2 linked regions of the Lepisosteus oculatus genome follow. The protein of the gene in region 2 purifies or fractionates together with the protein of the main gene of each other region. This does not show direct contact. Links are inferred from orthologs where the notes say so. Each region holds a gene or a part of one and is shown on either strand. Other genes may lie near its edges.

Region 1 (15,611 bases), on a different chromosome or scaffold from region 2:
CACTCAGAAGTGGTGTTGAAGTGATCTTTACATCCCAGGAAAATAAATATACAAAGGTAAAAATCGTGATTTTTATTTTACAGTGATGAAATGATCAAAATCACACAAAAAAAACTTAAGCTTTTCTTTGAGCTGCTAACTAGATTCTCTATCATAACATAACATAACTCCATCTTATCATTCTCTATCATAAAAAAACGGGCAGCTAAATTGCTTTTCAAAACCCTTTCAAAAACACATACTTCAAAATTATAAAATCCAACGCTCAGAAAGACTCTCCCTGTGGTGGAGCTACATAATAGTGACTCTATATGCTGTCCAAGAGGAGAGTAATGTCCAACAGATGGACCTGTAAACCTCTACATCCTGTTTTTTTAATCTTGTCCAACCAAAGGTCTTACACCAATTGATTAGTTGACTGGGCAGCAGGTCATTTCCTGCAGCTTTCTGGAGAATATAGTCGAGACAAGAGCTGCCTCCTTGTCTGATCTGGCTGTCCTATTCGCATTTTAAATAACCACAGAATACATGAAGAAATCTAGATAACAGGAATATCATGACCAATTTTTAGTCTTCAATGTGCCAAATTGTAATGTTTTCATTTTGATAAAGGGTGTTTCTTGAAAAGAGTAGGGTGTGTTAACCCCAGTGTCATGGCCAAATTTCCCTCAGGCCTTTACTAGTCCCCATCTATGAACTGGCTTTATTACTCTGTTCTCCTCCCCACCGAGAGCTGATAAGTGATAAGCATTCTGGTGCACTTTTGCTACTGTTGCATCATCCAGGTGGGGGCTACCACACTGGTGTTGGTGAAGAGGAGTCTTTTAATGGAGTGTCCAGAAAAGTGCTATATAAATGTAAGGATTACCATTACCAGGTGTGACCTCCCTTCATATAAAAAAGCCTGGTAGTGCTGACATATGCATATGATCAGCCCCTGGATAGACTGCTATGGGATGTTTTGCCACTCTGGTTACAGCTGCACAGAAGTTGGCCAAGACTGACTAGTTGTGGTTGCTACCAGTTAATGGCATTAACAATTTGGTCCCACAGATGTTTCTTCTGAGCTTGGTCCAGCAGAACCTTAATACACAGCAAGACCTACAGAATTTTCTTCAGATTCTGGCATTGTAATTCTAGCACTGTTTGGACATACACTGTCCTGCTCTTCTGAATGGGCATAAAGTAATGGAAAAAAACTTTGACTCCTCATTATATGGCTGTGCAGTAAGGTTGCCTTCATTCTGCACCATAGGAGCCGTGTCCAAAAGAAGATTTGGAAATAATTTGTATGTCCACTGTCCTCACTACAATGAATACAAGTACACTATTAATTTGCATAAATATGAAAAATAACTGAAACCGACAGCCTGAGAGTCACAAAGGCTTGCATTTTTTCACAGCTGCATGGCAGATAATGGTTGCGTTCTTTCCCTCATGTATCAGCAGCCTATGCTCTGTACTTGTCGCAATGCCACTTCCTGTCATCACCAACAGTGTAACGAAGACTGCAGGTCTACAGGGTGGGGCCCACAGTATCTCAAGGCCTTGCAACTGTAAGCAACTACTGGTATTCTACCACCAGCCCTTGGAGAAGCCCTCAGAAGAACAATCTGGTTCCTTAGTAGTGCCTTAAAAAACTGAAAATTAAGATTTGGGGGCATAATTTTCTTCTTTTTTTGGTTCACCACCTTTTAGTAGCTGTAACAATTTATATTTATTTATTCCATTGTGATGGGTTCTTATGGGTTCTCGGAAAATCATAGTCCAACACGGGGGTAAAAATCATTTTAACAAAAGGGAGGGGGTAAAAACACTTTGAAAAAGCAGCACAAATACCAGGGTTGGCTTACATCTACAAAACTAATCTTATATCCTGGGATGATAAAATTCAAGAATATTGCAATACAAACTAAAACATATCTTTTTTTAAACTAGCAGGTAAATCTTCATAATTCAATAGTGCTTATACTGTATGTTTCAGAAATCTTTTGGTTGTAAATGAAAGAACATAATTTGTATAGTTTTAGATATAAGTTCTTCCTATAAAAATGCTGTATGAGAAAATGAAACAAGTGTTTAAATTAGTATAAAAATACAAACTGAGGTTGAGCTAGAAACCTTAAAACTTACAAAATCTGTTTGAATAATGATTGCCATTTCTTGCTTAATCCTTCTATAAATTTAATGCGCATATATGAAATTTCTTATTGGAAAAACTACCCAAATTAAAATGACAGCTCTGTATATTACACGTTACTTTAATTACCCAAGAACATGAAATTGGATTAAGTAGTGTTAATTGAAATAAGGTCAGTTCATAAGTAGTATACATGAAACTATATAAACTCTCCAGTCAAAGATTCCTGAAAATAACATAATACTACTGTATATTGGTTCAAAGATTCTCCAAAAACAATGTGTGCCATTGTAATGGTTAAATTCTAAACTAGAAATTCAAAGAAATCAACGTAATAGGAAAATTATACGTTCCACATTCATATATGAAATCATACCCGATCATTGAACCCCAATCCACAAAAAGATGTGCTGAAAAAGCAACTCCCTCTGACTGTTTCTGAATGAGAATTCTAGCTTAAACACCTTGGTAGGACATCCCCATACTTAAATCTGTAGCTAAGCAACCTTCCATGTCAAATTACCAACCAGGAACTGGTTTCTGAACCCAGTTTCCAGTGGCTTTTCTACTCAGCCTGCTGCTGAAGGAGTGGTAACTTTTTTAAATTGTGATGTAATGCAGAAAACCCACCCCGTGCAACTGCACCAAAGAACACTCTGTGCTGTTCATAGTCAGGGGAGAAATTCCGTTAGCTACTGAAGCCAGCGGCTCTTTGGCCGCATTTCAAAACCCTTTTCACTAGTGACTGTTTCTGGTAAAAATAGTTCATCTCCAAATTAAAAAGGAACTAAGAATGAGCAGTTCTGCCTGGTAAGGGCGGGTCTCGCCCAGGCTAGTGATCAGGGTGTTTTCCAGATACTATTATTAGCACAATTGCTGAGAGAAGAATTATTCACAGGTTCCTCAAGATACCGTTTTTCCCTTTTACAGTAATCACCTTTCACCACACCAATGGGGGCTTTATGCTGAACAAGGGTGGAGACACTTTTTTTCTGTTTTCTATTATAAAAAGTGTAGTTGACCCCCAGTTCTTGCTTAATTACCTAGCCTATGACATAATTCTTTATATAAAGATACAATAGTCATGAGTTAAAGAAAATGATTAACAATGTGTCCTTTAAGAGTTAGGCTACAATTCACCATTTGGGTTCCTTGTGCTTTAAAGAGAATCCTAGGCCTTTTTGGTATTTTAAAGTCTAAATTGAGTCCCCTTAACTAAATATCCTGTATCCCTTCTCAAGAAAACAGACTCAAATCTGCAAACTTCTGAAACCTTGTTGCTAGTTTGTAGAGTGTGCCACCACTTAGCAATATACTTCAATACAACCAGCTATAAACAAATTCTATATTTCATCTGCATCATTAATACTATTTAAAAGGTATGTTTCTCGGGTAATAACATATATGAATCACCCATATAAGCATTTTGGCTTCTCCAAAGCAATAAAGGCAGTGTCAGTAGGCTAACAACTTACAGGGTCAACAACTAAATAGGTCTGAAAAAGTATGAAATGGGAGAGTTGTATTTTAGAAAGAATGTAGCTGACAGACATTATTTAGAACACCAGCCTACACCTCCAAAATCTCCAAGCATCTCAGCGATGAATGCAGTTCATTTATTTCTGGATGTTTCAAACCATAAACCGACTCCGACGATAATAAAAGAGCATACAGTAAACCTGGTAACTGATAAAGTGCTTCAAAAATGATTCAGTATGTGAGCATGAAAATTAATCACAACTAGAAAAATACTTTAACCCTAGACAAAGAAGTGGTAGAGCTTTCAAATTTGCCTCTTTCCTTATCAAAGTGTAACATACCAGCAGCAACTCTTACAAAACTTCCAGTGAGGCCTGAAAACAGAAGCTTACTTCCTGTGCTATCGAAATACTTACATTTCGAACATTTAAAATGTTGACTACAACAGAAACACAGTAGTGGAAGCATATCTAAACCAAGCAAGATACTTCTAAGTGAAAACATGACAAAAATAGTGCACAATTGGCATAATTATGTTAATTTGCATTTTGAGGAACATCAATCAGTCAGTAGGATTGTCTTTTAAATGAGACAAAAAAGTTCCTGCACTTTGACATCAAAGCTCAAGCTTTCTTTTCTCTTATTATACAAGACAGCCATTGAATAAAGTTTATCAAGCTAGGTCAAACCATTATTTGCATGAAAAACTCAAGCACCATTGCTCCTTTCTAATTCAATCATGCCACATTTACAACACAAATATGAAGGCTATAAAAATAAATCAGTGATCATTAGTAACATTGAACAAGCTAACTTAAAACTCTCAAATACTGTTTAAAAACCTAAAGCATGATGACAGTTAACCTTTAAACTTATGCCTACTGCAGAGCAATCTTTTCAGATCCTCTTCAGCAACCTATGACATTGTACAGTACTATGCTTGCTTACAAAATATTTTCCATTTCTCATGTGCTCCTTTTCACTACAGCTCCAACCCATGATGACGTACTCAACTCATGCAGATCTCCGTCTACCCTGTGCACAGTTGTCAGTCAACAAACTTCAGTTTACACTAATCTTCCTACTCACTTTTGTAAAGTTCAGAAACAAGGCAAACAGGTAAAAATAGCAGTCAAGAGATGGCAGAGCTGTACACTACGGCTTCATTTTACTTGCAGCAAACTTAATCGTACGCACTTTGCCACGTGCTCTAAGACATGGAAGAAATCCCCATCACCCCATCAAACGTTTTTGAAAAAATAATAATCAGCTGGAAACATATGCACAAATCATTCGTTGGGCTTTTAATGCCAGAAAGATAAATTTCCAAACTGCCTTCCTGCTGCCAATCTTCTTAGTAAAGGTCTGGGATAGTTCACATAATTTACCCTTAAACACTGGCGACCACCTGTAGCTTAGTTTATTACAAACTGTTAAGCCCTGCTTTGCTTTTCAAACTCCCAGTGGTACCTAATCCCCTACTTACATACCAGTGGCCCTTCCACATCAGTTCATTTTGTTGGTTCTGTTGCCTAGCATTTCAGTTTCTTGCTTATTTGCAATTAAGCCAAAGGATATATTACATTGAATCAGTGGTAAACAAAACCATCCTCATAAACTGGAATATATAGAACTATCTAGTTATCAAAAACATCCAAAGTACAAACCTGCTTCAGTTTTAACTTGGAAATCAGACAAGATTATAGGATTTTAAAAAACTGACTTGCTCCAGCTGTAAGAGAAACTACAAGAATTCCAAAAATTGACATTTTTTCTCCATTAATCAGTTATCAAAAGGCAGCTTGTCTGGATGAGGGTGATAGCCTATCCAGGAAACACAAGGGGCAAGCCAAAGACCAAACACCGAGACCAAAAACACATGACAGTTCTCAACCTGGATTGAGCACCAATCCGTTGCAGGGTCAGGTAGAAAGGAACAATTTAGAATTGCTTATCAAAGGCAGCAAGCATATTTGTAGGGGGAGGGGGTAAACCCCTGCATCTAGAGAAAACCCAAGCAATCAGGCAGAACATGCAAACCCACATAGTCTCTCGGGCCTATGATCAAACCTAGAAACCAAAAGTTAAAAAGGATATGGTTTCTAAAGTTATAAATTCAAATGTTCGTTCACATGAAAAAGAATAAGATTTAAATGGAAGGTTCATGGAATTTTCTCAGCAAAAAAACTTGGATTTACCTAATAAAAATCAGACATAAACCTGTATTAGTAAAGTATTTTTTCTAAAATTATTTTTCTAAAAAGAAAGAAAATAACATTTGTATACATACAATCTCTATTCTGCTCAATGTTGTTATTATCTATGAGTGTCTGTGAATTCTTATCATAAATAAATCAATCATATTTTCTACATTATGTCGCACCGATATAACTTTAAAGTGTTATCTAATCACATGGCGATCAGTCATGTAAAGTAATGCTAGGTCTAAGTCTCTAAAGAATGACTTCTTAGGAAAACTTGTATGAACTGGTATAAGTGATTCCTGGAAAACTCTGCTCAGAAACCCAAAGGCCTGGAAACCAGTTTGGTATTAAATTTTTCATGTATCATACACATCACAATCAGGAGGGAATCATTATCATTACGAAAAGAAAAAAATCTCAAATGAAACTTTAGAAAAGAGCAGAGATTATCTAAAAGTAATGTAGCTTTTGTCAAAAATAATTTGTTGAAAATGACCCCTGACTTTCAATTCCCTTTGACAAGCTTGCTATAATTAGACAGCTGAGTTCACCCCAAAGCATGGAATTTCCCACCATTACCTCATTTCAGCCTTTCAGTATTTTCATAAAGCTTAGACAGTGAGTAACAGTGTGAACTACAGAGAACTTGAGGTGGGGGCCATGTGTTGTTTTTTTACACAAAGCAATGAAAAAAGCAGCGCAGACATTTAATGGTGGTGATGAGATAAGGAAATAACTACAGAGCTTTCTGATGCAGTGGCAGAGGGGGAGTCTAGCTTTCTAAATCCCCAAATAAGGCTGTCAGAGGCAGTGTCAAGTGACTGGAAGCCAGGAAAGAGTCTACAGGGAGCTGACGTAGGACCGGAAGCTTTGAGTCATTTCACTGCAGTTCCTTGGGAAGCTGAACCAATGCCAACAAGGATTTAGAAGGAATTTAATTACAATCTGTGGTAGTACCACAAAAGTAAGCTGTACAACTACACCATTTTAGCCAGAAAAAAGTACCCCAATGATGAAAATACACATTTTATGAAAAATAAAGCAACACCCCTAATTAAATATCTATACAGTATTATGCACATAGAAACAAAACTTACAGTATGTGGAAATGTTAGTTTTTTCATCTCAAACATTTTCTTGCCCTCTCTGTCACCTCAAAATGTATTTACAAAAGCATCATAACGCAAACTTTGAAACATAGAGCAATAAAAAGAAAAGCAGTCAGTAATACCACAAACCTACAGATTCTGCTATTCAAAATCCTGTGACAAAAAGGTTTTTTTGTTGCTTTTCAGAGAGGAAATCCAGGTCAGAAGTTAACCTGGTATCTGTATGTGTGTTGATGTCTCATTTGTATTCAGCAGGGTGTACTTTACCTTTCTGACCAGGTTTTACAATTTTGAGACCCACAACCCTGTAGGCTTTCTAGCTTTCTAGCTATAAATTGCTATCGGTTGAAGACCTTGCAACATGTTAATTTGGTATTTAGGATCATTAAATGTAGAGGTGGAACAACACTTCACAGACACTGTGGCCAGAGTTGTGCATGGAAAGCAAAGCAGATAATGTAAGAAGAGCACTAATGCCTGGAAGGAGCTAAATTAATATTCTCAGTGATGCCAGCCTCCAGATAGTAAGAATTTCAGATAGGAAATTTTCACATTTCAAAGAGCATGTCAGATGAGTCTGACAAAAAAATGAGCTTGTCTCATGGGATTATATGGTATAGACGTTTCTTCCATTCAAAAGAAAAGAGACCTGGTCTATTTTGCTGCAGTTTTGTGCCATTGCAGTGCCTAGCATCAAGTTGTCTTCATCAATCAGAGTATGTGGACATCAGCATAGGTAATTAGTATTAGAAGGAAAAATTACACTACTAAAGGACAAAAAAAAATAACTGGACCAAAGATTGTGTTCTGATGCGAATAAGACTAAATTCTTGTTTAAAAAAATCTAGCTGACTCCCATACAACAGGTAAATGTGCCAGACTAGGTAATACAGTAATCATATAGAATATTTATTAGTCAATAGCTCAGTTTCATCTTGCCAAACTGCTATTTGCACAGTGACAAACTGATTTATTTTTACAGGGCTAGAAGCTTTCAAGAGAACCTCCACAAATAAAAGCATAGCATTAAGTTAATTCTTTTGATTAATTGATAAATATGTACTTTTCATTGATAAACTGATACATGGTATGTGAAAGGTACCTCTACTATTAATATTTTCATCAACAAGATTATCAATTTAAATGTTAAATACAGAATAAGCACAGAATAGAAAAAAATCCATAACTATTGCCTTTGTACAGTTTGAAGGCCATGCAATTCATGTGCACAGACGACAACCACGCCTAAAGTTTAGCAAATTACCGGGGATCTTGGTCAGAAATACTCTGCACTTTATTTTGTGGTTCTCTGTAGAAGTAGGTATAGATATTTAAAATAGATGAATGATCTGGATTACAACGTTTCACACAGGAAATTGCAATGTACAAGAGCTTGTATAAAATATGAACGCCGCAGGCCTAGGCTGGAAGAATAGACGCAACCCAGACCATTCAATTTTCAAGAAGCTCTCTTTCCTGGCCAATCACATAACAGAAAAACGGATTCTTTAAGGCACATAGGTCGATACAGAATAACTGTTTGAGGCATACGCAACTAACTTGTACCGCATTGCAATGAACTTGGAGCTGCTTGATAAATATAAAAATCACTAAGTTGTTACTGAAATAGCTCAGCTCACACAAGACAACATTTCACGATAATCAGCGTGCACATTAGTTGGAAAAATAAGAAAATAAAAAAACGTTATCCTAGATCTTATCGTTTTTTAACACTAGAATATTTTACGTTTCACTTAGATTTCTAATAATCAAATGCTATCCTGATTCACAAATGCATTAATTGTGGGTAAAAACGGATTGAATTAATTTATATTAAACCCAGCGTCTTTTTCCCATTACCGTGAACCAAGATTCGATACAGTATTATCATTTTTCCATTTGTAACACAGCACTATGACGTATAATCATTTAAATTAAGTTAAAATGTAAATCGTCGGGTACTCACCGTTTTCGGCATCTTTTCACTCTAGTTTGGAGCCAGATAACAAGCCTTTAGGAAATGTACGATACAATCGAAACTTTTTCAGAATCAAAACTTTTTTCCAGCAGCTGCCACATGCACGACTAAAGCAAAACCGGATACAGCCCTGAGAAGTTACCGTTAACCAGTTTACAGAATAAAAACGATTTTGAAGGAACTTTTCTTTTTTTTTACTTATTTGTGACTGCTGTGTGTTTCTTGCAGCTCTGAATGAGTCTAGAGTTTGATTTCCTGCTAACGGAACTCTAATGTCTGAAAACCACACCCAGGCAAAATGAAGACATACAAGTTGAGTTTGCACATAGACCCCGCCTGTGTTTTCAATGACCCGTATTTCATCAATGCCCTTGTCAAACCCCCCCAAACGAGAAAAGGAATTCTTAAAGTTTCCGAGGAGTTAAATGAGGGATGCCCTAACCTACTTTTACTCCGCATGGTACGTACAAAAATCGCCAAACATATTCCAGTTCTAGTTCTTTATTTGAATGCTGGAAAGTATGTCGACATTAATTATCGTTTGCCCTGCCACGAGAGACACCAAATGACAGTTAGAATTTCTTTTCTTTTTTTTCATTAATAGTACTCCTGCGTGTATTTTCAATGGATTCACCAACGAATTAAAATCCACAGTTCTAAACAAAAAAACAACACTATTTTTGCAACAATAAAATGTGGCCATTGGTCATTATCAAACCAGATGTGCAAGAAAAGCATAACAATTACCATGAATTTAATGCCCCCAAAGTTTTCAAAGTAGTGATCATTTATATTTTTGTTCTAAAACATAACTTTATTTGTGGACTTCAATATCCTGTTTGTACGTAGGCAGCTTTGTGGTTACAAATAAGGGCTAGGATGAAATAACTGAAATATTAGTCTGGCATGTTGTTTCAATTCTTCTGTTCTTCTGAACATTTTATTTGCCTTTTTTGTAGCTATGGTCCTGTCATCTTTCATATTTATGTTTCTAAACAAAAGAGAAAAGGACGCAACATTAAAACAGAAAAATATACAGGAAATAATGGGTGTGACTTGAAACGTTTAGTTTCGTCTGTACATCACAACATAGCACTACTGAGAAAAGAAAAAGCACTTTGTAATTAGCTCTTTGGCTACTTTGTATTGTCAACTTTCGGTTAGATAATTGGAAGACAATACACAACACATACCCAGTAATGAATATACCTTGAAAATTGTTCATGCAAGTAATGTAAAATGGAACAAAAGCACTTCACCTCTTTGTATTGTGTTATTTTAAAATATTACGATAATTTGATTTAACAACAGTTTAAAACGGTATTCAAGCACAGAAAACAACAAAATATATTAAACAAGTCTGTCCTGTCTTCAAAGAGACTTTTACAGACATAAGAAAATGAGAAGGGAAGTTATTAGAATTTAGGTAGACATGTTTCTTTAATTATTTCTTATTTTGTTGGGGTCTTATGTTTAAACTTGAACTACTTTACCCAGCTTTGACCCTTTCTGAATTATCTGGTGTACTTGTTAAAATTACAAACAAAACAGAAACTGGTAAAACAACAAATTTTGAGTACTTCCTCCTCATGTGAACATTTTTATGAAGTACCACCTCGGCAGCTTCACCTCAGTTTGTAAATGTACAAACATGAAAACTTTTTTTAGATTGTAGTTAATGTAATTCATGTAATGTATCTAATTATATTACACCTCTTACACAGTTTCACAGTAATGCAGTATATGCCAGTCATCAGCGAGACAATGAAAGGTCAGGTCAAAAGTGTTACATTCTCAGTTCCTGTTGATAGGTTTTGCCAGTGGTTCTCAAACTGTGGTACTTGTACCAGTTGTGGTGCCCGGAGCGCTGCCAGGGGGTACACCATATGATCCCAGAACTTTGTTGTGTGCACTGAAAAATTAGGATCGGTTTTCATATTTTCTATTTTAATAAAATTAGTTTGGGCCTACGTACTACGATACAGCCCGTGCTAATACTTGAGTGGACACAAGAGCTACTATGTAATTCTATACCATTGTATAGGAATGCGTGCTACGAACGAAAGCTGCCAATTGTATTTAAGAAAAGTTATCTCCAGCAAATAGGGAGGTAGGAGAATGTGCGTGATTTTGGAACAATGCCATTGTTGTAAGCACAGGAAAGCTTAGAAATGTGTGCTACGAATTCTGGCAATCTTGTGAGCACAGGAAAGCGTGATAGATAACAGAAACATATTTAAGAACTGTTCTAAATTAATTTGAGAAAATACACCGAGCTTCTCTGTGTTTCGCTCCCATGCGCATGAAATAAAAACTTTTTAACTTCTGAGATTGAAACGGGGAAAAATGCAAGCTTGTGGATTGCTAAAGCAGGTAAGTCCAACATACTTGTGAAGAACTTTGTTTACCATTGGCAAAAGAGCTGACACGTATTATACAGTATGTGGAGAAAAAGCTGCTAAACAGCTCGACCTACTGCCCCCAAATCGATGACAAGCCTACACAGCGGTGTAGTTGCATGAATTAGAGAGGTTGCTCTAGATATGAAGTAGACGCACTGCAGCATCCACCGCGAGGCCTTGGCCGTCAAGAAAATGCCTGAGGTTTTAAAATCTGTTAGACTCTGCGGTGAATTGTATCAAGGCTCGATGAATGAATTCACATCTGCTTTGCTCGACTAAACAGGCTCACCCCTCTCACTGAAATGGTGTTTTTTTTATTCTTTATTTTTAATTGTTGTGCTATATCAAATAAAGTTTATTATAATAATTATTATATGTGTATGTGAGTTTGTGCATGCACCCACACTCATGTTGGTCATTTAGATTTTCTGGGGTTTCTCTGAGAAGATGATTTTGTACGGTAGGTTGTACTTGGATGCTTTGGTTTGATCAGGGGTGGTACTTGGTCCAAAAAGTTTGAGAACCACTGGGTTATGCTACCGTATCAACTGAAGAAGACTGAGCTTCATGTGTTGAGTGGGGAAAATGGCCTTTTTATTTCAGTATACCCAGGCCTTCTTTGACACTGTACAACCAGAAAATGTTTCATCTGCTATTCAAGTATTTAATTTTATCAGCATAATGTATATTAAAGAATATGAGATACAGTACTGAAGATTTTGACTTACCTCAGGAACTTTGCATCTTTCCTTGCCAGGATTGAAAAACTTTAATAATTGCTGCAATTTTGAATTTTGGGGCAACTGAGGGGAAACAATTAAGGTTTCATGGTCAAAATAGTAGCTTTTAATATACATTATGCTAGAACATCTAGAGATTCAGTATTTTATATCAGGAAGGACCTAATGATTTTACAGCAATGTAAACTGAAGACATGAAGACATCTACATGAAGATAGAATACTATTTCATATTAAACAGATTTAGAGAAATTCTACTTCTGGAGGCAAATCAAAAATGGTCAATATGAGTTTGAATATAGTCATCATTGAAATGTTACAAATAATGAAATGTAACAAGTTTACTGTTGTGTTGTAACAATAAATTGATGGCCCTCTTTGAATTTCTCAGGTTATCTTTAAGAGTCTATGTGATGATTTAGTTTGTGCCTCTCCCTTTCAAACAATAATTAAACAATATACTTTTGCTCACCATTTTTAATAAAGTTTCTGTCCATTTTGTTCATTTGCCATGTGCTTATTTTAATCAGGGGAAGCAGATATTGGCCAGGAAGTTAAAAATCACCCTGTGACAGAGTCAGCCAGAGTAAACTCTTAAACATTTCCTGTTATTGAAATTTTAAAAGTACCATGACATTGGTTAGTTCTGAGTCTACAACTAAAAAAATCAGATTTACATCACAGAAAGGAACAATCCCTTTTGCTCCTTGATCTTTCAGTAGGCTTTCCATGAATTCCATGAAAGTTCAGCATAGGATTCGAGTAACTGTCCCTCCTGGAGCTTGGTTTGACTTTATTATTGGCATTTAAGAATGTAATTGTAAATCATTTGCTTAATCATACACTACAGATGTATTCCATTGTGTAATAAAATATTTTATATTTGTTTAATATTTTTTATAAATACCATGCTTATTGTGGAAATCTTTCAGTATTGAATGTTGGGACCTTTGTGAAATGTCTTCAAATAATTTATTGTTCAGGATATTTACTGTACATAAAAAAAATATTTATATATTAATCATCAGGAAATTTGTTGTTAAATAAAAGATGACACAGATTACATTAATTTCATTTTCCTTAGATTGGTGTTGTTGAGGACAATGGGATTTTTTCATAGATGCAGTCTACAATGTAGTTGCAGCACAACTGTTTATTGCTAAGAGGGTGTTGAAAAATCTAAAGCCATCAGAAATACAAAAATAAGGTTGTGATATTTAGCTGTGGTAGCAAGAATGCATTTATGTTAAACATGTCAGTGTGTGAATACCATACATGACATGCTCACACTTCCTAAATTGTTTTAGTGGTATAAACTATATTGCAGCTCTATATTAAAACTATATAGAAAATATACTGAAGACTGAAATAATAATAATAATTGCTTACACTTATATAGTGCTTTTCTGGACACTCCACTCAAAGCATTTTACAGGTAATGGGGACTCCCCTCCACGACCACCAATGTGCAGCATCCACCTGGAAGATGCGACGGCAGCCATAGTGCGCCAGAACACTCACCACACATCAGCTACAGTGGTGCTAGACATTTAATGTTGGATCATTTTGATCAATAAATGTATGAAAAAGTATATCCTTTTGTGTGTTATTTGTTTTATTGGGTTCTCTAGTTTTTACTTAGATGAAGATCTGATCAAATTTTAGGTAAAATGTATGCAGAAATTCAAAACATTCCAAGCACCACAGTATAGATGGGGATTATTAGGAGACCATGATTGGTAAGGGCTAATGGGAAATTTGGCCAGGACACCAGGGTTACACCCCTACTCTTTTCGAGAAATGCCCTGGGATTTTTAATGACCACAGAGAGTCAGGGCCCCAGTTTTAAGTCTCATCCAAAGGATCATCCAAAGGACAGCCCCTTTTTACAGTATAGTGCCCCTGTCACTAAACTGGGGCATTAGGTCCCACATAGGCCTCAGGGTAAGCATCCCCTGCTGGCCCCACTAACACCTCTTCCAGCAGCAAACTTAGGTTTTCCTAGGAGGTCTCCCAGCCAGGTACTCACACCTGCTGAGCTTCAGTGGGTTACCAGTTGTGGGTTGCAGGGTGATATGGGTGCTGGCTAAAATAATAAATAATAATAATTTATCTACTGTATGTACTGAACATGAGGTGGCATAGCGATGCAGTAGTTAGCATTGCTGCCTCACAGCACTAGACCCCTGGGTTCAATTCTGGATTTGGGATGATGTCTGCATGGAGTTTGTATGTTCACACCAAGTGCACTTGGGTTTCCTGTGGGTGCTCCGGTGTTTTTCCCACAGCCCAAAAACATACTGCACTGGTGGGTTAAGTGGCTTCTGCGAAAAGTGGCCCTGGAGTGAGTGTGTCTGTATGTGCTGTATCCTGCCTTGCACCCATTGTTATCGCAGGACTGCATTGGATGAAGGTCGGAAAATGGATGGATGGATGTACTGAACATTAGGACTGAATCACAGCAGGACTTCAGAGTTGTAGATGTAAAACGTTTTTCACCACTTTAGATTTATCCCTTTTTTTTAACAGTTATGAAATGCGTGACCATACGTTAGACTGTTCGTGTAATAATAGCACTGATTTACGTCACGTTTTTGGAGGCAACAACAAATATCAATAGATGATACTGGATTGGTTCAGCCCTCTTTCCGCTATATAGAACCCGCAGGAGAAGGGGAAATCGCATATTGGTTAAGGAATCAATTAACTGAAAATAATCTTTGCTTTTTAAAAAAGTTCTGCGAGTCATGACCGGACTTGGAAACCTAATGTTTAATTCATAACTGGTAAGGCGTTCAAGAGACCCCTTCCCACACACGTTATTATTATTATTTCTTTACCAGTTGCAGTTACATTTACAGTACGATGACGTATGAAATGTTTTTATTTAGGTATACAGTATTGGGTGTATGTAGAATACCATGCAATAGATACCAGCTTTCTTCATTGAATTACGCCGTCACAAAATATCTAAATTAAAGCATAATAGGTTTATTTTCCAATATGTATATAGAGAGACTCACATCTATGAATTCATGTCTTGATTATCAATAATACGGAAAGGAAGACCCCTAGTGGATGAATGTATATTTCCTGAGACAGTTACAAAAAACGAAAATACAGAAACATTGGAAATACGTTTGCAATTGCAAATGCTTGAATCTTGCAAATGCGTGACTTCCGTCACCCGCCCCCTGACCTCAGATGTGTTAAAATTACCTGATACCAATTCAATGTTAGAAAAAGTAACTGCTCTTAGGCGTTGCTGATTTGAATATTAGCATTCCTAAAACACGACAGTGCTTGATTGCCACACCTTAACATAAAACCTCTTTGTAATTTATAAAAGAATCCAACACTATTATAGTTGGATTATCTGGAAATACGCCGAAAAGACACCATTGAAAAAAAAATATTTGACATCTAAAAAAAATATACATTTTATTAAAGACACGTGAATTTTAATTGCGGATACAATAACTTCTTCAACCCCCTTCGTTTTTACACGTACATCGTAATGCGGAACCATTTTTCACGAACTAAATACTTCCAGGGACCTT
Region 2 (16,574 bases):
CTGGCTTTCTCGCTCCCAAACTCGTTCACAGCTTCACACTCATACAGGCCAGTGTCTTCCAGTCGTGCTGAGCTCAGGGTAAAAGAGCCATCGCTGGACTCCAGGAGCTGCTGCTCATTCTGGGTCTCTTTGCGCAGAAAGAGCCGCGCTGCTGAGGTGCTGTGTGTAGAGCAGGTGATGGTCACTCTGTCCCCTTCCTTCAGCTCTCCAGATGGGTCCACCATGATGGATGTGTTCTTAGGGGGCACTGTAAAAAAGAACCCACAACAATTATTGCTGTGCAGCCTGGCCACAGCTGTGGGGTTACAGCTACTGTAACTACCACTATCATCATTAATAATAATAATAATCTACAAAGAAATTCAGACAAGACAAATAATATCAGCTAGTTAACAAAAATTACTCAGCTGATTCATAAAGCAAAGTTTAATAAAGTAATATTTCAAACATCAAAAGTTTAAAGCTACCTCCTGCCAGTTGCTGAATTTCAGATTGACTTAGTAGCCAGGCAGGGGCCTGAGCAATTCTGATGCTCGGCTTGTGGTGCTGCATTGATATTTCCTGGAGTAAATCTAAACCTAAGTTATGGCAAAGCCCTCAGGGATGGGTCTCTTGGATTGGCAGAATGCTGTGTTTCTGGACATCAGTCCAATTTCAGTGAATACTGGTCACTCACCCTGCACAACTAGAGATATCAGAGCAGACTTTGTCTTCTGGTGGTTGGGGATGCCTTCCAAGTTCAAGTATGCCTTGCAGAATATTTGCTTTCCATTGTGTTCTGGACGAACAACAAATGTGTACTTGGAGGTAAAGATCTCAGTGTCAGTGCCATAGTACCGGTCCTCTGAAGAAAGCACCTCCTTGCCTTCCAGCCATTGAAGCTGCAGAATGTTTGCTGGGAAAGCATCATGCACAGTGCAGGTAAGAGTGACTTCTTCTCCTTCCTGAAAGGGCCTGTTGCCTTCAATGACGGGGTTGCTAGGAAGAGCTGCAAAGAGATAAACACCATAAACCCTCAGAGATGAAGTCAGCAAGAGCATTCATAGACAAGCTGTCATCAGACTACTCCAGAGCCTGCTGTGGCAAAGATATCCTGTCTCCATATAGTATGAAGCTGTCCGGCCAAATCACAGAATGTCTTGACATTTTCTTGATTAAAATGTGGTACTGGACATTACAGAACCAGCAACGCATATTTCTTTCATTATTTGTAAGTGTTGCATTTATTTCCAGATCCAGAACCTTTAAGCGTAAACCAAAGTTTGGTATGCAGTGCTGTGGGGGAGCTTTAGCCATTTGTGAAATGCTAATGTGTTCTGCATTAATGGCAAGAGCAATAACAATAATCATCACTTTAATTTTAGATTAAATCCAATTAATTCATTTCAGATAGAGAGTTTATTATATATCAAAATCCTCCTGTGTATGATACACAGAGCAATATCCTAAAAAGTCTGCCTGGAGAAAAACAAATGTCCCTTTGGAGAAAATAAGCTTACACTCAGCTGTATGGCTAACCACCTGATCACTAACAAGAGGAAAAACTCATGATGTTTAAGCACATCATTTGTGACAGAGTGTTCCTTTGGGCACCAGTTTGGTGTAGTGGGGAGGGCCCTGAACTACAGACTAGGAGGTCAAGGGTTTGTACAACTGTTGGCCAGATCCTTCACTTCAGTGATTTCTCTGCTCTGTTGGTGGTCATTTCAAATGAATATTTCCTCTTGAGTCTCCTATCAGGTTAAAAAAATGGATATTAAAAAACACTTACAGTAGATCTTTATGTGAATGGACCTGGTCTTCCAGGCTGACCCGCATTGCACCTTGCAGCTGTAGGTCACTTCATCCTCTATTGCCTTGGTGTCAAGGAAGAGATTGGACTGGTGGTCCTTAATCTCAATCTGTCCGTCCAGAGGCTTGTCTATCACGTGTTTCCATGTGAAGTCTGGAGAAGGGCAGCCCTGCGCCTGGCAGGTCAGGACCAGGGAGGATCCCCTCTCCACTATGAGGTCTCCCTCTGGGGGGCTCAGCTGCACCTCCAGGGGATGTGCTGGTGAGAGGACAGATGAAGATGTCACGGTTTGACCAGATGTAGTCAGTACCCCTTCAAATCTCTCAAGTCTCTAATTACAGTGCAGCATTTCAGGAAAGAACATACACAAGTTAATAGCACAAAATAACTTTGCGCCTTGAATGTAATGCATGGTTAAAAGCTACAAAATGCCACCTGAAAACAGAAAGAACTAACATTGTTCAGTTTTAAAGGTTAACAATCATATTTTCTCCTTGTGGCCATAGGCGTGGTTGCTATTCTTCTTTGACATTGTGGATATCGGTTACTGGCATACATCTAAAAATGAGGAGTTTAGTGTAGCAGAGATAGTTCATCTTTAAGTCACTTAAGGCTAAAAAGATTAATTTCCTTTCACTAACCCAAGGCTGCGCTCAGCTGTGTGATTGTAGTATTATAGTCGCTGGCAGCTGAGCTAATAATAGTCATTAAACACATCTATCATATCAAAATTCTCAAAGGAATGCAGGACCCATTGTGAGCCCCCGCCTCTCTCTTACCTCCAGCCCAAACCATAAACCACAAGCTCAGAGCGAAGAAAAACTTCGATGCCATTGCAGTACTCAAGATGCCTTAGTTTTGTATGAAACCCACAAGAAGTGTTTATTCTGTGTTGTTCAGCCTTAGTAAGCCACTATGCCCTTAAGCCACTGCTCTGCCTTTTTAACGTGAGCCAGGGGACGGAATTTCTGAGCAAAAATGTCACCAGCTCCCTGGGGGGGATGTTCTGTTCGTTACAGAGGGAAATTCCCCCTTTTTTACTGGTCCCTGTTGCCTCTGTCACCTCCCCCTTTAACTCTTAGTAGAATGACCCGAGGCTCCTACTTTACATTTTGCATCAAAACAGGTCGATGTGACCCGTAAAAAAAGTGAATGAATGACACTAGTCCACTTATCGGAAGACTGTCTGATGTTGACACTCAATACTGAAGCTATCCGATAGAGACCCTTCACTTAATATTTTAAGCTCCTCCTTCCTCAGATGGTGCTGTGTGTTTCAGATACCCAGTCTCAGACTGAGAGCCAGCAGATTTGAATAGTCCAACAAACAGGCTGAGGCCGACGCATTTAACCTGAAAACCCAATCTGCAGCTTATTTTGGAGAAGGTACATACTGTCTATTAAGTCAATGAGAGGAAAATATGATCTCTTTGCTGTCCATTCATTACCTCTCAGGTATAAAGAAGTATTGCATACCATTAATAGTACTGAAAACAGCTGTAATAGAAGTAGTAGTAGCTACAATAAAAAAAAAATGCTGTGGTACTCACCTTCAACAGACACATTAACGCTGGCTTTCTCGCTTCCAAACTCGTTCACAGCTTCACACTCATACAGGCCAGTGTCTTCCAGTCGTGCTGAGCTCAGGGTAAAAGAGCCATCGCTGGACTCCAAGAGCTGCTGCTCATTCTGGGTCACTTTGCGCAGAAAGAGCCACGCTGCTGAGGTGCTGTGTGTAGAGCAGGTGATGGTCACTCTGTCCCCTTCCTTCAGCTCCCCAGATGGGTCCACCGTGATGGATGTGTTCTTAGGGGGCACTGCAAACCAAGCATTGGGCTTTTCATCAGCACTTTTAATCACCAAAGCAATGCGCTAATAAACCAAAGCCAAACCCTGACACTTCAGAAACCACACAGGTCAAAAATATGATGAACCAAGGTGGGTGTTTAAGCTTAACAAAAAGCACAGGGCATGGGAACTCTGGACTCTGAAAAGGATAAGGTTGTAGTCACGAGGAGGGTGTGTGAAAGTGGCAGTGTGGCTCAAAGACAAACAACTGCCAGCTCTCAGGAACCACTTCAAAACCGTTCATTCAGAGAAACACTCAAACCAAGGCTTCTGGCCATGTGTGTTGGCAAAAGCTCTTTCACTGAACCCCTCAGTGTTGCCAGGCTGTGTGTTTCTTCCCCAACCACATAAACAAATCTGACACAAAGCCCAGCCCGCTTTGTGAAAGATACAGCATTAAGAAATGACAACACAGAGACAGCCCCCAAAAAGGAAAGATCCCCACTTGATTAACATCACCAGTTAATAAGTATGAAACAGTAAAACTTTGTGTGCTGTGAATGTACTGTACGTCAATCCCAGTGCTCATCCAAAAACTAATAACAACTGAATTGCAATCCATGTGTTTTTTCCCTTCACTGAAAACAGAATTAGATTACAGATACATTATGAAGAGCTAACTACTTTAATTTATGGGATTGAAACTACATTTATGACTGCATAATAACCACATTGGTGAAAATGTTAAGCTTAATTTTAACTTTGTTAAAACTGAATGCTATAATTAAATAGAAACCAGAGATCTGACACTGACTGATTCATGCTTCGTTAAAGCATTTTAAGTAATTAAATACCAACAGTGATAATTTAGAGAGGGGAAAACTACTGAATCTGTTGCTCTGGAACTTAAAACTACAGCAGGAACTCTCCCCCAGTGAAGACATATCTAAAGAGAAATCATGGCTTTAAGTATCTAATACTTTTGTGGGCATTGAAGTCATTTCCAACATAAATGGTTTCTAACAGCAGCGAAAGAAACATTAAAAAGTGCTACTAGCTGCACCAGTGAAAACGTCCAGCTAATGTATCTTCATTTCCCTAATCACACTTTCATATGTCTCTTTTCTGAGCTTGGTCAGATCTTAAAAATACATTAGGCTTAACTGTTTAACATATTTAGGATGAAAACACAACAGTTTTCAGGCTTTGTAAAGACACTAGACTGTTCTTCTCACCCTGGACTGTGATGGTAATTGTTCTGGTGTCTGTTCCCACAGCATTGCTCGCCTGGCATTCGTACTCTCCACTGTGGATACCCTGCGCCTGCTCAATAGAGAGAGTCCCGCTGTCCGATAGTGGTCCCTGGCCGCCCGGCCCCAGCTTCCTCCACCTCAGGTTGGCCGGGAGATCACTCTGGGCTTCACACAGAAGCGTCAGATTCTGCCCTTCTCTCACAGTGGAATCAGGAGTGCTTAAAACCCGAATAATCTTTGGCGCTCCTGTGAAAATAACAGCAAAAAATGCAGTCTTAATTTGATGCTTTATTGTGTGCGACATAGTGATGGAGAATACTGGAAAGTGTATTTGGTAGTGTTAGACCTTTACAAATGCACTATGCACGATACAGATCCCCTCTGTCTTCTGATACACTCTTCATTTCTTTTATTCCTTTATTCATTTTTCCTTTTTTTAAAAATTGTATAATGTTAGCATGCCCACAGGGGTTGGGCAGCCAGTTGACCTTGAACCCATAGAGTTTTGTTTTCTCCTTACTCAGGAGTTTTTGGTTCTTCTCATCTGTTTTCTTCTGGTCTTTTCTGTTCTGTATTCACAACATATATAGTATGGTCACTTGTTTTATTAAGCGCCTTGGGGCAACCTTGTTGTGAAAGGCGCTTTATAAAAATAAATTGAATGCTGTAGCCCTTGATTCTTAATTCTTAATGTCTAATATGAAAGGCCTAATAGAAACTGCCTTTGAAGAGCTGGTTTCAAGTGGACAGCAGCCTCCTTTCTTTAGAGTTGTCTGTTTTGCTGTTGTATAGCCATAAATGGTGTTGCAGCATGGAGAACTACAGGTCGGTCTTTAGAATGTGACTTACTCTGCAACTGTAACGTGGCGACTGTTTCCTTGGTAGCCTGATCTTCTGGTAGTCCCTCTACTTCCAGACGGGCTCTGCATGTCACCTGTTTCCCATCGTCTCCAGCTGTTGGCTTGAAGGTGTGAATCAAGGTGACAGTATGGGTAGCTGGACTATGGATTCCATAATCTGTACTAATAACGTTTTCCCCAAATAGCCACTGAATTTCCATTTTCTCGGCTGGGTAGACATCAGGGACCTGACAGGTGAGCGTAGTTGATTGGTTTTCCAGTAAATGTCCATTCCCTGAAATACTTGGGCTGCTAGGAAAAGCTGGAAAAATATAATTCAGTATAAATATAAAATCAATTTGTATAGTAGACTCTTCTATCCTAGGCTACCTATTTATCGCAATTTGTCACTTGTGGGTAATGGGAGGATGAAAATCGATTAGTGCCTGATCAGAGAGACATGGGAATATATCAGTGACAACCTACTGAAACACGAAAAATAATTTAAATATTTCACATAAATATAGCGTCTGATCTGAAATAACAGAAAAAAATGACACTCGGTCATAGATGTCAAGCAGTATAAAGGCTACCGTTAAATGTACTCTTACGTGTTTTGACCTGTGCAAAGGGATTGAAGCCGATTTTAAAGGAAATCTGCTTACATTTACACAAAAAGACAAGTTAACGGTTTAAAGCTAAATTATCACGTATCAATACTTGAATTGGGAACAGCGTACAACGAAAGAAGCATTAAGCACTTACAATATACATTGACTTTTGTCGACTGTTGTTTGCTCTTACTCCCGCACTTTACTTTGCACACGATTGTGTTTTCATGCTCTGTCTTCACCGGAGACAGTATCGCCAGGGACTGAGAGTCGCTATTCTGAATCTTCGCGTACAGAGGTTTGTCTTCCAGCGAACCCCAGGTGAACTGGGCTCCGAGACAGTTCGCACTGCAGTTCAGAACCAGGTCGGAGCCCACAATTGCCAATGGATTAGAAGGTTGCAGTTTAATATTAAACGAAAATCCTGTTCAGAAAACAAGCAAACGTATGAATACAATATTAACATTAAATCCTGCGTAGTATTCCCATTAAATTATTTTATTAAAATATAGTATAAAGCACACTAGGGCTAAATCACATTTAAGTGCATAGCATATGCATACTTGCTAAATATACACCCGCTTTTGTCAGGCGTAGCAGAATTATTAGCTTATAATAGTGTAGAAAATAAGCATTTTTCAGTCTTTTATTCTGTTTCTCCATTACTGCACGTAAATGTGCCCAATGTACGTTCGCATATCGACGAATAATTCTACTTACCTCTCTGCGCGATCAAAAGGATCGAAATAAATTTAATTAATGCCATTACGAGAAGTTTTAATGTGCTAAGATTCCAAAACGAGGTGCAATCAAACGTGTTACGATGTGGATATCAATGCCGCTCTTTCCACTCCCTGTTCTTCTGGTGTGGGTTTGTAGAACTGTTGCTGGGCTTATTTATAGGGATTAAAGGGGATTCCATTGAAAATAAAAAAAGAATCATTAACACTCCCTCAAAATACCAGACGTGTCACGCATGAATTCCCCTAAAGAAATTTCGTCTGTCCATCGCTCCCCCTTCCGTACGCTGCCGGAATATACACAGTTCCAGGCTTTTGCAGGCTGAGACAATGGGCACAGACGAACACAGACGGCTGAAACAATTAGCCAAGCTATCACACACAGCCTGGCACAGAAAGCTGCAAACCCGTCCGAAAGAAGTGGTATCCCGCTTTGCAGCCTTCAATTAGGCTTTTTCGCAGTTCTTGTTTGTGAATACCACTGAAGACGACGCGACAGCAATCCAAGCTGGAGTTTCCTAAACAGATGCAAACGGGATATCATTCTTCTCACTTATTTCTCATCCTTATTAAAATGAAAATCCAGTTACTTTGTATTAATAAGACAAGCATCATCCTCACTACATAGGCAGATAGCTCAAGCTCCGCTTGCGCTGATCTTTCACTGTGGCGTGCTCGATACTGTATGTCATATTTTTAGTTGTAATAATTAAGTATGCTTTAACTTACTTTTAAAAATAAATTAAATTTGTTATTGTCACAAAATCACAGTGATGTGGGGCCAGTATTTTAAACATTCAACTTGTGGAATAGTGCTTGTCAGAAATTTTTGATTTTTGCAGAGCTAAATGTTGCAAGCTACACCATTATTCTATAAAAGCACTAAAACACATTCAGTCCAGACTGGCAGCCTCACAAAGGAGGGAGGGAGGCTGTTTTCCCTTTCTTTGTGAGTGGGAGTGAATGTGCTTGGATCTGCTTTCTCTGTGACCTCAACCAGTTCCACTGAACCATTAATTAGCAAACACAACGAAGAGGCAGAGCTTCAGCTCTTACCTATTTATAAAATAGCAGGGATTTCTAATTTCTAAAATAAAAATGTAACACCTTCCTCTAAAATGGGAAAACCCAGCCTTTTATTATAGCACATAGGACTTTGATAATTTCTGCCTTTGTCTAAAATGCTGGAAAAGAAGAGCTAATAATGCAAAACAAATGCTTTGAGTTCCCTGTCATATAAAACAGAAGGAAGACTCCCAAAGAGATGCTCACAGGGCTAACGTCAACACTGTCCATCAGACACATTGGAAAGAGGAAGGGATACAAATATTGGTTGTAGGAAGAGATACAAGTGAAATAACAGAGAGGTGCATTTAAAACCAAAAACAAGAGGTAGGTTTTAACATAGTTGTTGGTGTTTTGAAAAAAACACCCAGCCATGTTGTCAAAGTTGATACTCTGGATTCTTTCAGGAAGTTTCTAGGTGAAATCCTTGGATCAGTTAGCTACTATATTAGTAGCTTAATAAGCTTGACGCCCCAAAGTGCCTCGTCTTGTTTAGAACCCTTCCCAGGAATCACAGTTACATGGTTCTTCTGATTTATGTTGGTCTATGATCCAGGACAGCAGAATTAAAACATCACAAGAGAAACACTGAATCATATAAATTAAGAACAGTAACATGTCTTCTGTAAGTCTGCCTCTTCTCTGCTTGTATGGGCATAGTGCTGTTCTGTAGTGAAGACTACTGGCCTGGACTTTTACTGGCATTTGAGGTCTTTGATGTCACTTATCAGCCTCCAACATTTGAGGTAAGGGATATTTACAGTATACTGAAGTAAGAGGCACTTGACAATGTCTGATAATCCTTCCTCCAAGAGCAATGACATACTCCTGTACATGTAAGTGTCAAATAAAGTATGTAAAAAATTCAAGACAAGCAAGAGTGGAATGGGATGAAATTAAACGTTTGAAGTTCTGTTTCATTCTCTCTGTCTTGTAATTTGCATGACAAGGAAACCAATCCATGGCTATTAAGAATTATTAAATTGAAGAGCATGTATCCCCTTCCCACTATTATTCATGTTTGAATTCATGGAACAATCATCTCCTAGCAGCATTTAGCAGTGTATATTTATTTCACAATTAACTTGATAGACGTTTTAGAAACTGATGCCAAGACAATGCATTAAGACAATTGCTCTGTGTTTACATTATTTAACTGTAAATCTTATCACTTTGCTCAGTTTGATAGAGTGATATGAAGTTATTAGAACACTTGGGCTTAATATTTTTTCAGAAAGGCCTCTAGGGCTGGCAGGAAAACAGGGAGCGTGTTCATGATGCACTGGTGTTCGGGGGAGGTGTGGCCGAGGCAAACAGTCCAAGGGAGTCTGAGACAAATCCATAGGTGTAGCAAAAGCCGGAGCGGGATCCGGCGGAGGGTAGGGGAAATAAAAGGGGGGTCACGGGACCAGATGCTCCCTAATCCCGGACTCAGAAGGTCAGGACGCCATGATGAAGCCTGTGCCGTCGAGTCGCTCCTGGACTTGCGGATAGGCGGGCTTCCGGGGGTCCATCTTCCAAAGCTGAGCCCAGATTGGCAGGAACGTCTGGCTTTTATAGCACGGGGGCTGGAATTTTTCTGATACAAAATTTGCAGCAAAATCATATCTCCATTTTTGCAGCGGAATTCTTTATTACTTATCCCCATTGTTCTGACTATTACAGTAAAGTACAGTACAGACTCAATTTCAAATCTCCTCCATCTCAATCTATTCAAAGCATCAAGTGACACTACTCCCTCTGTGTAAAAGCTGTGTGTTTCAAAGGATTTTAACACTATATTACCTAGGGCAAAAAATGTCATCTGGAAAGATCTGCTCTAAACACCTGGAGGAGTACATAGACAGAACCTGGAGTGTTATGCGCCAAGGCATGTTAATATAGTACAGGTATGTAAATTCTACAAAATTGTAATTTTCCTGAATTGATGTTAATTCAATCTTCAAGCAACTTTCTCCATTTTCCTTTGAATATGTCTAGAGTGTTTAACTAGATTATATGCAGAGGAGGAAAAATGGTTTCGTGCCACTGTTCCATTGGTCTGGAAGCCTTTCAGGGGATTTGATGACCCATCTGATGACATTTAATGGTGTTCTTGGCAAGGGAGACCAAGTGTAATATGTCATCTCTCCCCCCCCCCAAAATTATCATCCAGCAAGGCTGTCGTATCCAAAATTCAGTCAGTTCTTAAGACATCTCAACAATAATGATGGGAATAAAGGAGAAATGAGTGGTGCCCCAAATTAGTCTCTACAAGTGAATAGTGTATAGTGAGGTTGTCTCAAGCACATGCAGCTGGGTTACACATTTATACTGTACATGGAAGCAACTTTCGGTGATGTACATGCCCAATCATGAAAGGTTTGGAGAAGTGAGAAAGCTGGTTGTGTGTTGTCTGGCTGTGCTACAAGGAGCAGCACAGGCGTGTGAGCAGTGAAAAGTGAAACTGCAAATTTGAGAAAAAGACTGCTGTCTGGCATCAGTGGACATTGTAGTGTTTTGTCCAGCAGCCATTACACTGATGTTTTTTGCAGTGTCACAGTTTCCTCAGTTAGGCTTTAGGTCCATTTGACAAATAGATAAATATTAGACAAAATATTAGACATAGACAAAATAGAGAAATAGATAACTATATACCTGCTGCCCACCACCAAAGCAGAATTACAGAGATCCATTATGAAAGCATCACTGCCATTGTCACAAGCACCAACCAGCGGAGAGCTAACCAGTACCAGCAGCTGGTTAATAATAACAAGCGCCGCCGCATGTGTTAATCCATCAGCACACGCTCTACCGTGCGGCAAGCAGCACTATTTAAACCATCCTAACCCGCTTCCCTCTGCTTGAGTCTACTCGTTGAGAGCTCTACGTGGCGTTTTCTGTACCTCGTATTATTTTGGATTCTGGACTTCCCTTTTGCCTTTCGACTTTGGACCTCGCCTCTCATCTCAGATTGTTTGCCACCAGTGTACTTCCCGGATTTCGACCTACATTACGCCTTTTGACCGTGACCTCGCCTCTTGTTTCAGATGGTTTACTTCAATTGTACTTCATGGATTCTGAATCACCTTTTTCCTTTGGACCACAAACTCGCCTTACATATTGGATTGTTCACCTGCCTTGACATCTTCCTACTCCGGCATCTGCACAGGATCTGTATACCTATTCATTGAGGATTCCTGACAGCCATTACGCAAACAGCTGGGGAGAGTAAGAGAAGAAAGGCTCATGAGTGTGTCAGTGTTTCACCATGGGCTGTGTGATGAGCTACAGCTTTCAGCACTGCTCACTGCTAGTCCTCCTTTGCTGTTGGTTGGGTAGCTCGACATTCAAAATGACTCATTATGGAGCCTCTTTCCGCACTGCTCAGTATTGCTGTAGCTTGTTATATCATGACTCTATGATTAATCTCCATTTCAGTACAGCACATTGCAGGAAGGAACTGCAGTAAAGAAGTACTACAACAGAATTTACCTGCTCCAAGCAGGGAAGTTTGACCTGGACCTGACACATCTAGCAAGGCCAGATAGTGCAGATAATGCCATCGCTCAGTGAGGGCACGTGAGTCTGGAAAGAAAGCACTCAAAAAGATTTGCTATTTTCGGAGTGGCTTTGGCTCAGCATCAAAGATGAGCCAGGCACTCTTTCTTGATATGAGTGAGGGCTGTTCTGCAAAGTCTGTACAGGGCAGCTGTCTGGAATGTGAATAAAACTGGACATGTTCTGTGTGAAGAGTGTCAGGGACATGTTGGATGGGAAGCAGCTTGCTTGTGGTACATTCTGTCAGCTGCTGGACAGACAGATGTCAATACATTTTTTACTAACTTTAATGTCTGTAAACAGTAAAACAACTCTTAGTCCGGATCGCGGTCACCGAGGACCATTCCTGTCTCCCCAGATGACACTTTTTATTTTTAAGATAAACGCGAGATAAACAACGTTTGTTTGAAACCGCTCCACAAATTTTCTCACATGCACGTATTCTCAAATATCACCACAACAAAACCATAAAGTTTGTTTCCACAGACATGACACTATTATGCAATAAACCAATAAAGTAATGAACTAGCAGAATCCCAATAAAAACACACGGCAACCCGGCAAGCACAGCATGTCAATATCATACATTTTTACCAACAAAACCGCAAAAGTAAAAACCAGCAAATATATATATATCCCATGTTTTTACCTTATTCTGGAGCATGATATATATCCAAAACAACCCAGACTAGTTTTTCTCAAGAGCTAGAGACTAGTAAACGTTATTGATTACGTAGTAAATGTCTGAAGAACGAAATAAGGTGATTTGATTGGTCAAAACCGCTGTCATTCATTTATTTTCAGCCATTCAGAGCCCTTAGGGGGTGAGACCCTCTAGAAGCTTCAGGTTGCATTTTTAGCTGTCAATCATTGACTCAGAAGGGGTAATCAATCAGTTTTTTATCAGTTTCTTATCAGTGCTCCTTTTTTTCACACCAGAAGGCAACTCTGAGGTTTTTTTTTCATTGCGTAACAGCAGATAAAGGCTCTCTAGCAGTGTCTTAAGGTTTTTATAGCAATTGCAATGGTTTTTATTCTTATTATTTTCAATATTTTTATGATTTTTTATTATAGGCATGAAATTTCATTCCAGGTCCAGTCTTCACAAAACATGATGTAGAATTTTTTCTAATTGATCAATTTGTCCCAAATTTTTATCCAAGCTAGTAGCCACCTAGAACAAGGTTTTCAAATCATTCCCAGGCCCTTGACATGCATATAGTTGAAAAATCTGACCTCTGAAGACCCAAAAAAAATGTTTGCCAGCTGTTTTTTTGTTTTTGTTTTTTCATATGTTTGTCTGCAGAGTGGACACATTAAGAAATATAAGAAATTTGACTATTCACACTCAAGGCCAAGGCGGTTAGCTTCAATTTAAGACCTGAACCAGGCTCCTGCTATGTTCTGCTGCAGAGATATAACAAATGTTTAAGGTGGGGAAATTCCAGGCGGACATTGGCTAAATATGTCACTGGTAGTAACAGGTTAATAACTAATATTTATCTGCCTTATCATTTTATCATCTCAGTGCCAAGTACTACATTTCAGATTGGCTGTTACATTCAAAGAAGTGGCTATTTATAATGACCATACTTTATTCAACCTTTAACTAATTTTATGAGTATGTGTTTGTTACTGTCCACCCTATAGCTACTTCTATTTGCATGCTTTCAAAATATTTTTTTTCTTTTTCTTTTTATAGTGACTCATAGGTTATTAAAGTCTCATTAGAAAAGCCATTGGGAATTGCTCATTCCTCAGTTATGCCCAGAGAAACTAATTTAAAAAATGTTTAGATGTACTGTACACAGACATTATTCTGTTTTTTTAATTAATGTGTTCTGTGATACCAGTGTTGGGTGTATTGCAAATTTCATCTCAAGATTTCATACACTGCTTCCTTTGAGCTTGTCCTTGGTTGTTGTAGCTAACCGCTTGATCAAAGGTTTTTTAATCACATTTTAGTTTCATTATGCGTATAAAAACCAACAACAATGTGGGAGAGAACAAAGTTTGTATTAAAGGCAGAGTTAAAATACATTTGGGAACTTTCAAACCCTTTTTTTTTGCTCAGCAAAATTTCCTCTGGACATCCTGAAAGTCTGAATAAAAACAACTTTCATTTTGTTAGCACATCCTAAGAATACAATTCCAATAGCCAAAGAGGAAACTTTAAGTTTCTTTTTCCAAGTATTTCATGTTGCAGACAAAATTATAATCAATGACCATTAGCCACTTACCCGGAATTGTATTTATGAAACTTGTTGATAACATTGATAACAACTGTTTTCCAAATGCAGAGGTTTTGATTTGAAACAATGCATTGTTTGGTGAGAGGACAAGCAGAGTGAGATTTGCAATACCACAAGAACGCTTTGATAATCATTGTGTTGAAAATTACCTGTGCTGTCAATAAAAACATATCCAAACCATACCGCTTTTAAATTTGCAGTCTTCTCGAATTCTTTTTTTTCAATAACAAAAAGGACCAAAACTTAACAAAAACTTTTATGCAACTTCAGAAGCAGTAGATGTATCCTTATCCATTAGGTTAAGCTATTCAGGAAAAACCCTTAAGCACAGGATTTTCCTGAAATCCATTATGTATTGTTTTGTTTACCATTTTTAGACACGGCACGCAGAAAGCATCCCAAAACAAATCATTCAAAATACAGCATTACATTCTGACATTTGTGGTCATGGAAATATGGGGTTTAAAGGACTGTGCAGATGGATTTGAAGTGATAAATGAAGAGTTTGAATGAAGAGTGCTCTGAAAATGATCCGGAAAGGTAACACAGAGGAAGAGATACTGGATTGTGGCCTCTGAAAATGTGTAGGAGATCCTACATTTCTAAAAATGGGAACATTGATTGAATAACAAAGTATGAGCAGTGCACATTAAGAATTGAAAGAGGCCCAGAGGTGACATCTGGGAAGGTTTATGATACATAGAAATTGAAAGTTGAGTTACTTAAATACAAACTGTACAGATACGACTGAGTGGATCATGTTAGATTTTGGCTCCAAATGGAACCAAGTCTCCTAAAAAAAAATGATGGTGTTGACTACTGGGTACAGATCACAGAATGGTACTGAGTGAATGATACTGAAAAGATTCATGGGGCCAGGAAGTCACACAATTTCTTTATCACCTCAAATAGCGTGCAGTTGGCAACCAGTTACTGTAAGTAGCACTGAGGTGCTGTGTAGGAAACAGGGCCTTGAGGATAGATAGTGACCCTGAGAGACATCATGCATAGTATAATTTAGTTTAAGAGCTCACATTAAATCAGAGTGGAAACAGGGATAGTGACAAAATGGAGATGGACTATGAAAATATTGAAAATATTCCTCTGATATACCCCAGAGATTCCTGAGGCTTAGGGCTGTTGCCACAAGTTAAGTCTTTCATCCCACTGTTTTGAACATGTATAGTAAGAGTGAAGATTGTGTTGCATAGAGGAAAGGTAGAAGTAGGAGAGACAGAGATCTATTCTAACAGTATACAGTGCCTTGCGAAAGTATTCGGCCCCCTTGAACTTTTCAACCTTTTGCCACATTTCAGGCTTCAAACATAAAGATATAAATTTTTTATTTTATGTGAAGAACCACCAACAAGTGGGACACAATTGTGAAGTGGAACGAAATCTATTGGATTTTTGAAACTTTTTTAACTAATAAAAAAATGAAAAGTGGGGCGTGCAAAATTATTCGGCCCCCTTGCGTTAATACTTTGTAGAGCCACCTTTTGCTGCGATTACAGCTGCAAGTCTCTTGGGGTATGTCTCTATCAGTTTTGCACATCGAGAGACTGAAATTCTTGCCCATTCTTCCTTGCAAAACAGCTCGAGCTCAGTGAGGTTGGATGGAGAGCGTTTGTGAACAGCAGTTTTCAGCTCTTTCCACAGATTCTCGATTGGATTCAGGTCTGGACTTTGACTTGGCCATTCAAACACCTGGATACGTTTATTTGTGAACCATTCCTTTGTAGATTTTGCTGTATGTTTGGGATCATTGTCTTGTTGGAAGATAAATCTCCATCCCAGTTTCAGGTCTTTTGCAGACTCCAACAGGTTTTCATCCAGAAACCAATGTAACACAACGGGGGCTCAGGCGGGCGCCCTTGCCGCATCTGGTCAGCCCCATCCCGACTGGAGGCTCGAACCCGGGACTTCCGCGTCTCTCTGCAGCGACCTAGCCCCGTGAGCCAAAGAGAGATCTCTCCACAGCCCAGTAGCTGTGGTCCTGCTATCACAGGGAAGGGCGGTGACGTCACCCGCTCTGGTACGCCGGCTCTTACACACAGTGCTTGTCGGCCGTAAGCGTTACACTCTCCCCCGCTTAAATCGCCGTCCCCGGCGAAGGGCTATCCCGCCCCGCTTCTGACACCAATGTAACGCAACGGGTTAGGCCGAATACTTTCGCAAGGCACTGTATATGTGGGTGATTAAAATTGGAGGGTTAATCCTGAATTGATTAAAGCAGAATGTAAGTAGGGGGACTTTTGTGGAACAGGAAGAGGTGGCAGGTACATTTGAGACTTACTGTAAGTGATCAAGTTCTTTCTGAGGCATAGAGGTCAGACAGGCATAGATGCTAGTAAAAAGATGCATAGGCAGATTCACCTGCTGGAAGAGTTGCAAGCAAACAGGTGAGATTGGAAAAGGGAGACAGTTACAGTACGTGTGAGGATACCCACTGGGAGATGCATTGTCCTGTGGGCTTTGTTAATGAGCTCTGTGGCATAGACCGGTTGACAAAATTGTTATTTGACAGTTAAATAGTTAAAGTGGGCACAGCAGAGAGGAACACAAAAACTCCCAGAAGGAGAAAGTTAACCTTTGGGGTACATTCATTCTAATTAAGTCATTGACACTTGCTGATTTTCAACTCAGGCTAGAGTTCAGGATCTTGGAAGACACTGCACTGAATTGGAAGGAGTA

What was found.
Region 1: the proteins of vcam1b (region 2) and msna purify together in Homo sapiens (affinity purification with western blotting; 3 studies listed by BioGRID, with this or other methods). This does not show direct contact. The link is inferred for Lepisosteus oculatus from reciprocal best matches to the Homo sapiens genes VCAM1 and MSN.

Annotation. Positions count from the first base shown.
Region 1 is NC_090703.1:43,068,859-43,084,469, reverse strand, and holds the start of msna (moesin a), read right to left. Parts: upstream 9,221-15,611; 5' UTR 8,911-9,220; coding exon 8,899-8,910; intron 2,537-8,898; exon of another isoform or gene 2,517-2,536; intron 1-2,516. UniProt on the Homo sapiens protein: Ezrin-radixin-moesin (ERM) family protein that connects the actin cytoskeleton to the plasma membrane and thereby regulates the structure and function of specific domains of the cell cortex.
Region 2 is NC_090704.1:19,635,175-19,651,748, forward strand, and holds the start of vcam1b (vascular cell adhesion protein 1b), read right to left. Parts: upstream 7,315-16,574; 5' UTR 7,050-7,314; coding exon 7,004-7,049; intron 6,708-7,003; coding exon 6,438-6,707; intron 5,995-6,437; coding exon 5,683-5,994; intron 5,080-5,682; coding exon 4,816-5,079; intron 3,610-4,815; coding exon 3,343-3,609; intron 2,051-3,342; coding exon 1,772-2,050; intron 989-1,771; coding exon 677-988; intron 248-676; coding exon 1-247. UniProt on the Homo sapiens protein: Cell adhesion glycoprotein predominantly expressed on the surface of endothelial cells that plays an important role in immune surveillance and inflammation.